Bombyx mori: one gene and its partners. The protein of the gene in region 3 purifies or fractionates together with the protein of the main gene of each other region. This does not show direct contact. Links are inferred from orthologs where the notes say so. Each region holds a gene or a part of one and is shown on either strand. Other genes may lie near its edges.

What was found.
Region 1: the proteins of cullin-3-A (region 3) and BTB/POZ domain-containing protein KCTD5 purify together in Drosophila melanogaster (affinity purification with western blotting; 4 studies listed by BioGRID, with this or other methods). This does not show direct contact. The link is inferred for Bombyx mori from reciprocal best matches to the Drosophila melanogaster genes Cul3 and inc.
Region 2: the proteins of cullin-3-A (region 3) and kelch-like protein 3 purify together in Drosophila melanogaster (affinity purification with western blotting; 3 studies listed by BioGRID). This does not show direct contact. The link is inferred for Bombyx mori from reciprocal best matches to the Drosophila melanogaster genes Cul3 and kel.

Annotation. Positions count from the first base shown.
Region 1 is NC_085123.1:10,763,619-10,767,117, reverse strand, and holds BTB/POZ domain-containing protein KCTD5, read right to left. Parts: upstream 2,201-3,499; 5' UTR 1,967-2,200; coding exon 1,766-1,966; intron 1,682-1,765; coding exon 1,229-1,681; 3' UTR 614-1,228; downstream 1-613. Other genes in the region: serine/threonine-protein kinase N, read left to right, coding at 1-289; mucin-5AC, read left to right, coding at 2,871-3,113.
Region 2 is NC_085109.1:522,796-526,557, forward strand, and holds the start of kelch-like protein 3, read right to left. Parts: upstream 2,840-3,762; 5' UTR 2,588-2,839; coding exon 2,550-2,587; intron 995-2,549; coding exon 941-994; intron 696-940; coding exon 536-695; intron 206-535; coding exon 71-205; intron 1-70. UniProt on the Drosophila melanogaster protein: Component of ring canals that regulates the flow of cytoplasm between cells. May be involved in the regulation of cytoplasm flow from nurse cells to the oocyte during oogenesis. Binds actin.
Region 3 is NC_085110.1:9,637,698-9,641,359, reverse strand, and holds part of cullin-3-A, read right to left. Parts: intron 3,592-3,662; coding exon 3,467-3,591; intron 2,381-3,466; coding exon 2,182-2,380; intron 1,360-2,181; coding exon 1,190-1,359; intron 42-1,189; coding exon 1-41.

The DNA of each region.
Region 1 (3,499 bases), on a different chromosome or scaffold from region 3:
TCGTTTGTTAAGGAAAAACCCAGAAAGACGATTGGGTTCTTCTGAAAGAGATGCTGAAGATGTGAAGAAGCAGGCTTTCTTCCGCAATGTTGATTGGGAGCAATTGTTATTGCGTAAAGTGAAACCACCATTTGTGCCAACAATAAAACACTTGGAAGATGTTAGCAATTTTGACAGTGAGTTTACCTCTGAAGCAGCTGTGCTTACACCGCCTAAGGAACCGAGACCACTGTCATCCACAGATCATAAAATGTTTGAAGATTTTACATATATGGCAGACTGGTGCTAGGTCAGACTGTGAGAAATAAAACAAATGGTATATTTATACCATAAAATGCTAACTACACAACAATAAACCCCTGATTGCCTTAAGAGTGTGACTTTTCTGTATTTTGATAATAATAATAATGTTATAAAATATCTAACAGGTTGTCTTGTTAACTTATATTTAATGCAGTTTAAATGCAAAATTTTATAATAAATTATATAATTAAGTTTTAAATAGTGCTAATGTTTATTTTTTTAAAACATAGTGTTATAGATTTATATATTGTGTAGTTATGAACTTAACTTTAAAAGACTAATATGTGAAGGCGTGTCAAATCATATTACGTTTTCAGTCAATTGTTTACTTATTCACTGAAATAAAGGCATAAACACAAACAATTTTTTTACTTAATTACGTTTTTAATAGAACAAATGCATTTTAATGTTGTTTCCATTACGTTTGGTATGTGAGCATATCTGGAATTGTTAAGGTACAGATTGTTATTTTATAGTAATTACAAAACAATGAAACAGAAAATGTACAAAGAACATTATTAGTCTCAGAATTTCATTCACAATTCACTCACAATTACAATACAATTCGCTCTCCTTTCATAATAAACTAGAGAATAGCACACACTTTTGTATGGACATATAGGACCAATGGGTCACTTTAATTGCCTGGTACAACCTGTTGCTAAATACACTAATAAACTATAGACTCAAAAATACATTTTACTCCCTATTTCCTAAATTTATGCAATTGAGTATTTCCTACCATAAAATTCAGACAACACAAGTTACTTACTAACTATTAAATTATTGCATTATCAACCTTAATCTTGTAAGATCCTTTTGTTACAATACCAATAATTATTTAAGACTGTTTATTCTTTTCACAATATGTACACATCACACAGAGTTATGATCACAAAAAAATAAACAAAAGTAAAATCAGAGCTCACATTCGTGAGCCTTTTTGCTGCAACACTTTTGCACGATCTGTTGACTCAATGTCATTACTGTTGAGTGTACTACCACATTCACGACTAACCACACAAAGGAACTCTGCATGTTCATCATTGCCATAGTTATACTGTGAACCAATATTGATTAGTTGTTCAAATTTCCAACCATCTGACATTGTGGAAACCATCTGTGTCAGCTCCTCTTCATGAAACTGCAGAACTCTGTATACATGTTTCTTGGAATCTTTCAAAGGTCTTCTCTCTCTGAGACATATTCTCTCTTTAACTAATCTTATAAGTTCCGTAATGTTGTAGAATTCTGCTTCTTCGAGAACCCCTTCTTCAGCAATATCATTGTTAATCACCAATTTACCGTGGCGAAGATAATTGAGGACAGGTGAAAAATATGTCGGGTCTCTATCTATTAAATAAGCGCCAGTCTCATCCTGAAACAATGTTAAGAATATATTAACAAACATAAAAGGGAACCTTAATTAGCATACAAAAAGACAATATGAAATCGAACAAACCCTGTCTGATATCAAGTCACTATCCTCTTGAACTAATCGATACAAAAATGAATTAGGATCCCTACATAGAGTTGTTTTTGTAGTTAAAAAATACGTTCCACCAACGTTAAGTTTGACCCATTGTTTGCTACTCCGCCTTTCATTATTAAATTTTTGTATATTTTCTTCCATAAAATCACTACAGTCAATATGCTCCGCCATCGCGTACCAAAGACAACCCGTGCACCGTTCGTATCGTAGACAGTAGTTTTGTCATGCTTGTCATTGTCTTGAGAGCTTTTTGGCGGCGACTCGATGGATACATTTAATAAATTATTAATATATTTGGTTAATTTGTGTTTTTCTGGCTTAAAGCCAAATAGCTTTCTATAAATGTGGCTTCGTAGCAGCAAAGTATTACGAAAGTGCACAAGCGAGAGAGAGGGAGAGAGAGAGAAAAAGGCCTAGTCATGGTTTCTCGACTTTTTACAAAGTCTAAAAATGCTGGGTGTACACGTATAAAGCCTCACCAATTTTTCTAAAGAAAACATACTAACGCTTGTTCACGAAGGCTTTCATCGTTTTAATTAAATCCAAAAACTTGTGCTAGGATATTGTGAACCCGCATGGTAGACACCACCATCTTTGCTTATTTCTGTCGTTATTTCTTAAATGGGTATCGTCATGCGAGAGAAAGTTAGGTTCTTGTGAAGGTATGTGTCACTTCTATCAAAGGTTTTTTTTTTTCAGAAAGAAATGTATATATGTTATCATTGAAAAGTCTGTCTAAGACTTTTTTATAAATTTCCATTATTTAATAAACTACAATCTCTTTATATATTTTTTTCAGTTATGGTGTAAAAAATTCAATCGTACAAACATTGCAAAAGACTATCAACTTTGTTTCGTTTGCCTGTACCAATTGAGTAGACAAAACAAAGAAAAAATATGCTACTTACTACTTTGTGCTATTGTCAAAATTTGTAGAAATTGGTCAAACAAATTCTCAGTTTTTGTTTAGTTAACAAGATTTTAACTTTATTAATAAATAAAGTTATGAAATCAAGTGGCATGCGGTACTAAATACCTTTAAAAAGCGATTCTAATTAAAGTCAGCCCATTCAAAATGAGTGGTAATATGGAAAGTGATAGATCTGTTACAACTGGCAAGATGTACCCAATAGATTTGGCGCCTCAAAAAATCACTATAGTTAAAAATGTAACTAATAATGAGGTTAAAATGGCGCATTTAATAAGTGGACAAACCAAAACTTCGGGTTCTAACCCCATACTGGGTCACTCCAACGCTAGTTCGACAGTGATGCGACCTGGCTTGGCGCAGATTATTGCGCCGAATGTTGTCTCCCAGGTAAATGTATAACATTATAAGAAATAAAATTTCATAAATAACTCCTACATTAAATTCCCAAGCTATACACACCTTCAATGTGGATGTATTTTCAGTGACTCCAAAATCAACCGGAAAAATTTAAAACGATTTTATTTCCAGTTTATAATGTTTTAAATGTAATGGCTTTTGTGGGTAGGAAATTAAAAAATAACTGTATGGAATCCATTCTACAACTTGCAAAAAATAAATCGTCTCTTCATATTTAGAACTATAGTATCCTGTCAGTAATACGCCATTCAGTGTTAAAGGCGGACTCAACTTGACCGCATTTTTGACCGTAATACAATTATGCTATAAATTTCAATTATCAGTTTATCAATCTGTCATAAATCCTTGCTCTCTCT
Region 2 (3,762 bases), on a different chromosome or scaffold from region 3:
CACACATAACAATCCTTTTATTAAAAGCAAATAAAGAAAGGTTTGTGCAGCATTGTTAAGCTAATTTTACCTGTATAGTGACAGTGGGTTGTGTTCTTTCGTCGAACTGTGTGAACATAGCGTGGAAGTAGGGCGATGAAGCCGCCAATACCGCGCGATGAGCCCATACGCCTTCGGATGGCTCGCTGTCGCATTCCGCTTGGGCCTGAAAAGTCCAACAAATGTTAATGTTATGTTTGGTCAATTAGAGGTAACTGGTTCAACAGTCATCCCTATTACCTGTAGCTATCGCGTTGTATCGCTGCAGTAAAACTCAATAAACTATTGAGTGGGATAATAGAGTATTCCAGGTACAAGTAATAGCAAAAAACTTTCACCCATCACTAAAATATTAATTACTACATCCTCTTACAAATAATCGCGATGTTGTTATCACAAAGATTTCTTTTTATGAGATGAACATAAAATAATATACTCAAAAGAAACATCAAATGTAATTCATGTTATGATTTTACTTTTGTAAACATAATCTTACCTGTATCCGAACATCACAGAGTGTTGCATCTTGTCTCAACCTCGCTAAGGCCTCAAGCAACTTTGATGCATGTTGAGCTCCTCCAATAGTATTTTCAGTGGTGGCAGGCCGCTGTGATGACTCATCTAGAGATGACTGTGATGCACAACGTACCATCATGCTGCAATAGAAGTCATTTTTATACATTTTACTCTGTGTGTAGTATATTGTTACAAATTATTCTTAGCTTCCAACTAATTCATATCCTCACTTGAGGGTCCACAGGCTACAGCTTTCTAAGATGTACAATAATAAGTTTGCAGTTGCTATTATAATCAAATTTAAATTAGAACATGTAGTGTAATAACAATAAGCGTTTTGACAGAGACTTAGCCTTGCCTCAAATAAAATGCAAAGTACACTAACCTATACCTTCCTCTGTCTCCATCACCTTCTGCTGCTCCGTTATCAACTGCTAAGCTGTTGGCAACAAAATAAAATAACAATAACAACCACCAAATTTGTATGGTAGTTATGTTAAAGGTATGGGAATTTAATATTACAGTAATGGTGAAAGCACTGTTTTATCAACATTGAGGACAAAGAGCTTAAGGCCCACCCACCTGGTGGTGAGTGATAATGTTTTTTTTTTTATTGCTTAGATGGATGGACGAGCTCACAGACCACCTGGTGTTAAGTGGTTACTGGAGCCCATAGACATCTACAACGTAAATACAGCACCCACCTCGAGATATAAGTTCTAAGATCTCAGTATCATTACAACAGCTGCCCCACCCTTCTAACCGAAACGCATTACTGCTTCACGGCAGAAATAGACGGGGTGGTGGTACCTACCCGTGCGGACTCCCAAGAGGTTCTACCACCAGTAGAACATCACCAATGTCACTCAAGAACATCACGAATGCACAATTGAAACAATATTTCCATGTTATTAAGTAGGAGAATAATTTTATTATTGTGTATAGATTTACTTTGGTTTTATTTCTTGTGTTTATTATGTAGAAGTAACATGTTTAAGCTTATAAAATTTGAGATATCAGTATAAATTGTTGTGTTCGAGACACACTGATTTGTTACTTATCCTTAACCTATTGTTACTTATCCTTAACCTATTGTTAATGTACTCATTAACATTGAAATTATAATGATATTATTTTGCTAAATAAGTACTTTCTTATTTATGCACAGTATTCATTTTACTTTATTGATATGCTGCATAATACAGTATCTATCAAAAATATTAATCAATGTGCAAATCATGAGCTTTAAACCTTCTGTACAATAATATGTGTCGCTATTTCTCTTATCCAAATTAAATAATTTACAAACGTATCTATTTATTGAGTATATGTGATTATTATTATATTAATGTTGTTGACCTATTTATATTGTGAAGCATATCTTGATATTTGCATAACACTGTATAACACTGAGCATAAAGTACTTTCAATCCAATTTAATGAATTGACTTCAATATGGACTGAAAATCCTACAGCCATAGTAGTAACAGTCTCAGATTTAATTCCAGGTCCAGTATCTTTCTTAAAGATATTTGGATGTTAGTACATTTAAACATGGAATATTTAAAATGTACAAAACAGAAGATATTAATGCAACTCTACCCACATTACAATATGCTGTTATGAGTTGACCATACCTAAATATAAGTAAATAGTTTAAGGTTTAATACTATTTAAATTAAAAATATCCAATCTATCTTCAAAAATTATTTATTGATATATGTAGTGACACTTATTGACATACATTTTTGTATAGCACAATTTTTTGGCTTACCTGATTCATAAATACTTTTGAAGCCTACATTATATTTGTAAAGTAAAAAAAAATTTTTTTTTTTCTGTTTGTTAAGTCCAACGTGACAAATGATTATAGTTATAATTATCAGTAAATAGTTCTGCTTCGTGGACGTAAAATAACAGCACAATCCAGACTTATTGTGTAAACGTTTGTAAATCCTTGACCTCACAGATTATTGTGATATTAAACAACTTACATGGCTCTTTCTCTGTCGCCATCAGCGTTTCCTTCCATAGTTCAAATCCTGCAATCTTCAGTCAGTTCACGACGAATGCACAGGTAGAACACATAACTGAACAAAAACCAAAGTTTTCAAAGTAAAAGCTACAGGTAATCGCTTAAAGATAACAGACAGTCGGTATTAAAAATATGTTATTGTGACTTTTATTCGTAATTTGATTGTTTTGAACGACATAAATACTAAATAGATTTCAATTTGCGTTCGGTTCTTGAGCCTCAAATCCACTCTCAATCAAATCGAATGAACGTTAAAATGTCATTGTCAACTGTCAAGCGACAATAATGTCAATTTTGTTGGTTTGGGTCATAGAGTTACTATTTTAACTGGAGTGCTTACTTCGTTTGACATAAAAACTAAAAATATACTTTATCTCTATGGCTTAAAGTTTATTTTTAAATAGCAAAAGATGTAAGGAAAAACGGTCTGAAAAGAGAATGATTATTAAGTGGTGGTGTCCCTCTCGCACATTTTACAAACAAAAAGCAGTGTTGCTAGCTTAGAGGATTTTCCATAAAATCTCGGAATTTGGACCCCCGTCTTAGTTATCAAAAATGGCTTTTAGTGGTTAGTGGATTTTTTAGTAGCTTGGGCGTTGTTGAAAATTATTGAAAAGGTTAAAATCAATCCACTTTACAGGATTTTAAGCATTTTATGACAATAATATATCTAAATGCATATTATTTAAACGATGTGACTTAAACTTAACTAGAAAATATTGCGACAATTTAGAATTTCCATCAACGTCAAAAATTAAATTGGTTCAACATAAACGTACAAAGTTATGGTGAATTTAGTTTCTGATGATGACAATTTATTAAAATAAATTATATAAGAAGTATTGATTATATGATATATATTGATTTTTAATAGAACATCATATATTAATAAAGCTCATTAACAAAAAAAATATTGTTCTATATTAATAAGAACTCTGTTTAATGGAAAATTTAATGGTAGGTACGTAGATTTCTGATGGTTTTCATGTTGAATTTGGTGGGAAGCCAGATTAATTGTTGGCATCACCGAAAAAAAGCTATGAATGGATTAAAAGGAAAATGGCGTCTATTTACGTTTGTAGTGCGAAGTTAAAATGGCACTGATACAGCTTATGGCTTGTTTTTTTTTCGAAAATCGTGAAAGTTTCCGTGTAATCATGGTGAACACTTTT
Region 3 (3,662 bases):
GCTCCGACTCTCCCTTCGCGGCTACCGTTTGTATCTTAACTCTGCAAAAAAATATGTCAAGAACAAATAATTATCCGGTGGTAGATTCTGGGAAGCACTGCATTTGCTAGGACCAGTGTTAGCATCCCTTCCGGTTTGAGTCCCGAGAGCTCACCTATACGCTAGGGTGAAGCTGAAATAGCTTCTCAAGCCTATCAGAAGAGGTAGAAAAAAAAACCTATACTAATATTAAAAAAGTTTTATGTTTGGACGTTTGTTACTCTATCTGGTGGTAGGACCTCTTGTGAGTCCGCACGGGTAGGTACCACCACCCTGCCTATTTTTGCCGTGAAGCAGTAATGCGTTTCGGTTTGAAGGGTGGGGCAGCCGTTGTAACTATACTTGAGACCTTAGAACTTATATCTCAAGGTGGGTGGCGCATTTACGTTGTAGATGTCTATGGGCTATTGATTTGAAGTCGTCGTGGCCTAAAGGATAAGACGTCCGGTGCATTCGTGTTGAAGCGATGCACCGGTGTTCGAATCCCGCAGGCGGGTACCAATTTTTCTAATGAAATACGTACTCAACAAATGTTCACGATTGACTTCCACGGTGAAGGAATAACATCGTGTAATAAAAATCAAACCCGCAAAATTATAATTTGCGTAATTACTGGTGGTAGGGCCTCTTGTGAGTCCGCGCGGATAGGTACCACCGCCCTGCTTATTTCTGCCGTGAAGCAGTAATGCGTTTCGGTTTGAAGGGTGGGGTAGCCGTTGTAACTATACTGAGACTTTAGAACTTGTATCTCAAGGTGGGTGGCGCGTCTACGTTGTAGATGTCTATGGGCTCCAGTAACCACTTAACATCAGGTGGGCTGTGAGCTCGTCCACCCATTTAAGCAATAAATAAAAAAAATCCAAAATGTGTCCATCCATATCCAAATGTAAATGTAATCCAAAATCCAAATTGATGAAATTTCGCACCAAGATACTCAGATTAACACAACAGTTTATCTTGATAAGTGAGATGAACCGGGAAGGCCAGGTACATTTGTTATTATCTACTAATACGTTCGACATTTTAAGTACCAATGGATCTACAAATGGACCAGAGAGACGAGCGCAAATTTTAATTAAGTATTGCAATATATTTGCATAGAGGCCCTTTGTTATTAATCCATGGAACGTGTTTAAATATTAAAAATTACCTATGTAACTTAGATGTGAAGGCATCATTGACGTAAAACTGATGTGAGGGCTCAATTTCTTTAGTTTTAGGATGTTTGATGAGAATTCGTTGGGTCGGCTTGCCCATGGCCAACGATTGAAGCGCGCGGACTAAATCCTTTTCCGGTATATCAGTCTCATTGAGTAATTCCTGCAATCAGTTTGGTTAGTTGTAGAAGTTTGTAAAAGGCAGAGTATATTTCATTTTTAAAAGCATAAGTCATATATGCCTATAGCAAATTATAATTATATTGACTATAATAAACTAGAGAAGTCTGTGTGTTCATCTTTAGAATATTTTTTTTTTCAATGATTAATCTATATAATTTGTAGTCTATAGGTTGAGATTCAATCAAAAGGTAGTTCCGACGTTAGGAACCTAAAGTTCATATAAAAACTTAGAAACAGACCCAACATTTGTATACAAATCGGCAAAGACAAAATGGTTAAGTACATTTTTTTCTTTTGTTTGTATATATTAACATAGTGTTTTTGTCCATAACCCAATATGTGGGGTCGGCGCTGCATTCCTCTTTTTTTCAATTAGGGCTATCATACGTCACCTCTGCACTTACACCCTTCTCTCGCATATACCCTTTCACACAGCCCATCCCAGTCTTTTAATAGCCCTCCTTCTCATGTTACCCTCTATTTATATTAATATCTATGTTTATACTAACACTAGCTGTACCCGTCAGCTTCGCTGGGCATTTAAAATTAACATTATTATTTCTCACCCCCAAAAAGATACTCATCATTAACGCCCCCGCAACTGGTGTAGGGAGTCCAACACTCATAGAAATATTAGCCTATCCATTAAGTACACGTATTTCCTACATAGATACCAAATTTCAAGTCAATCGGATGCATGGTTCAGTCGTTATAACGGAACATCCGTAAAAACCACTGTAGATTTATATATTAGTATAGATTGTATGTATTAAAAATCTGGAACCGAAGGTCGAAAACTGACCTCGTAGGTGAGACGGTCGCGCTGGTTGAAGAGCAGCAAGACGCACATCTGGAAGGTGGAGACCTGTATGATGTGGCGGCGCGGCGCGGCGGGCGCGGGCGGGGAGGCGGGCGCGGCGCCGAACGTGGCGTGCAGGTCCGCGCTGCCCAGCTGCGGCTGCAGGGACAGCTGCCGCCCGGAGTGCTTCGCCAAGTAGAAGCTGCAAAGCAAGCAGAGAAAGTTAATGCTTCTCCCGAACATTCGTAACTGCGTCTAGAAGTCCTTCATATATTTATGAATTTACTAGCTGACCCGGCAGACTTCGTAGTGCCTCAATCGATGAATAAAAGACCTACACTTTTGTATAAAAAAAACATAAAAAAAAAAACAAAAGGAATCCGTCCGACAAGGGACACATCAAAGGAAAAACAAAATTGTTTCTTTTTGAAGTTATACTTCTTTAGGCGCGTTATGAAAAATTGATGAGAGTGAAATTTTACGATGCGCGCGCACCGTGACACAAAATTAACAGAATGAAGTTGCCCACTAAATCGCTCATTACAATACGACCGACGTAACTTGGCGAGTCTGAATATAGCCGCAGGTGAACTTTCCGAACCGTACCGAGAATTACCGAATTTATACGATGTCAAGAATAGGGATGTCCAATATGCGTGTTTGAGGATGTTGTTTAATCGATTTTTTTTCAAATTGATTAAATTTAAATAAAAAAAAAGGAATGAATTTAATAAAAATAAAGTATAACTTCTTACGCGCGTACATAAGTACACGCATCCTTTTTTATATAATTCCGAGCATTTTCATATTTATTCACCTTTTAAACCTTCTCTGGACTTCCACGAATAATTGAAGACCAAAATTAGCTAAATCTGTCCAGCCGTTCGCGAGTTTTAGCGAGACTAACGAACAGCAATTCCTTGTATAATATAGACTAGCGAAAACCTGCCACGGTACACCGTCGCCAAACATGAAATACACCCATTTCATTACCGGCGCCTCATGCTATTTGTTGATAGTATTGTGCTAGAGATTCGTTTATGTAATATTGCCTCCCTCTATGTGAGATCATAGACAAAGTTATACTTATAATTTAATTTTTTTCTATTGATACATTTTACACACCAACCAGAAAAGTGAGTAATGCTGAAGAACTGAATCAGATTTATTCCATGGTTAGTCCGTGGCTTGCGATGGCCCTGAATGACGTCACACGTGGTGAGTTGCGATCAGCCGCGTTTTGTAAAATTTGGTTTCCTATTGAGTTGAGAGGAATGCCTGTACTGACCTTCTGAAGACTTCGAACGCGTTCCTGGGCGCGGCCGGTATGTTGCACTTCGGCGTCGCGCTCTGCGTCGGCCAGAAGCCGGTCGTGAGCACTCGGACGGACAGATCCACTCCGTACAAGTTCAGCTGTGAATGCGCACTGTTCTTTACATGCATAAGTGTTTAACGACGAAAATGTCTTATTTTTATATAGTACT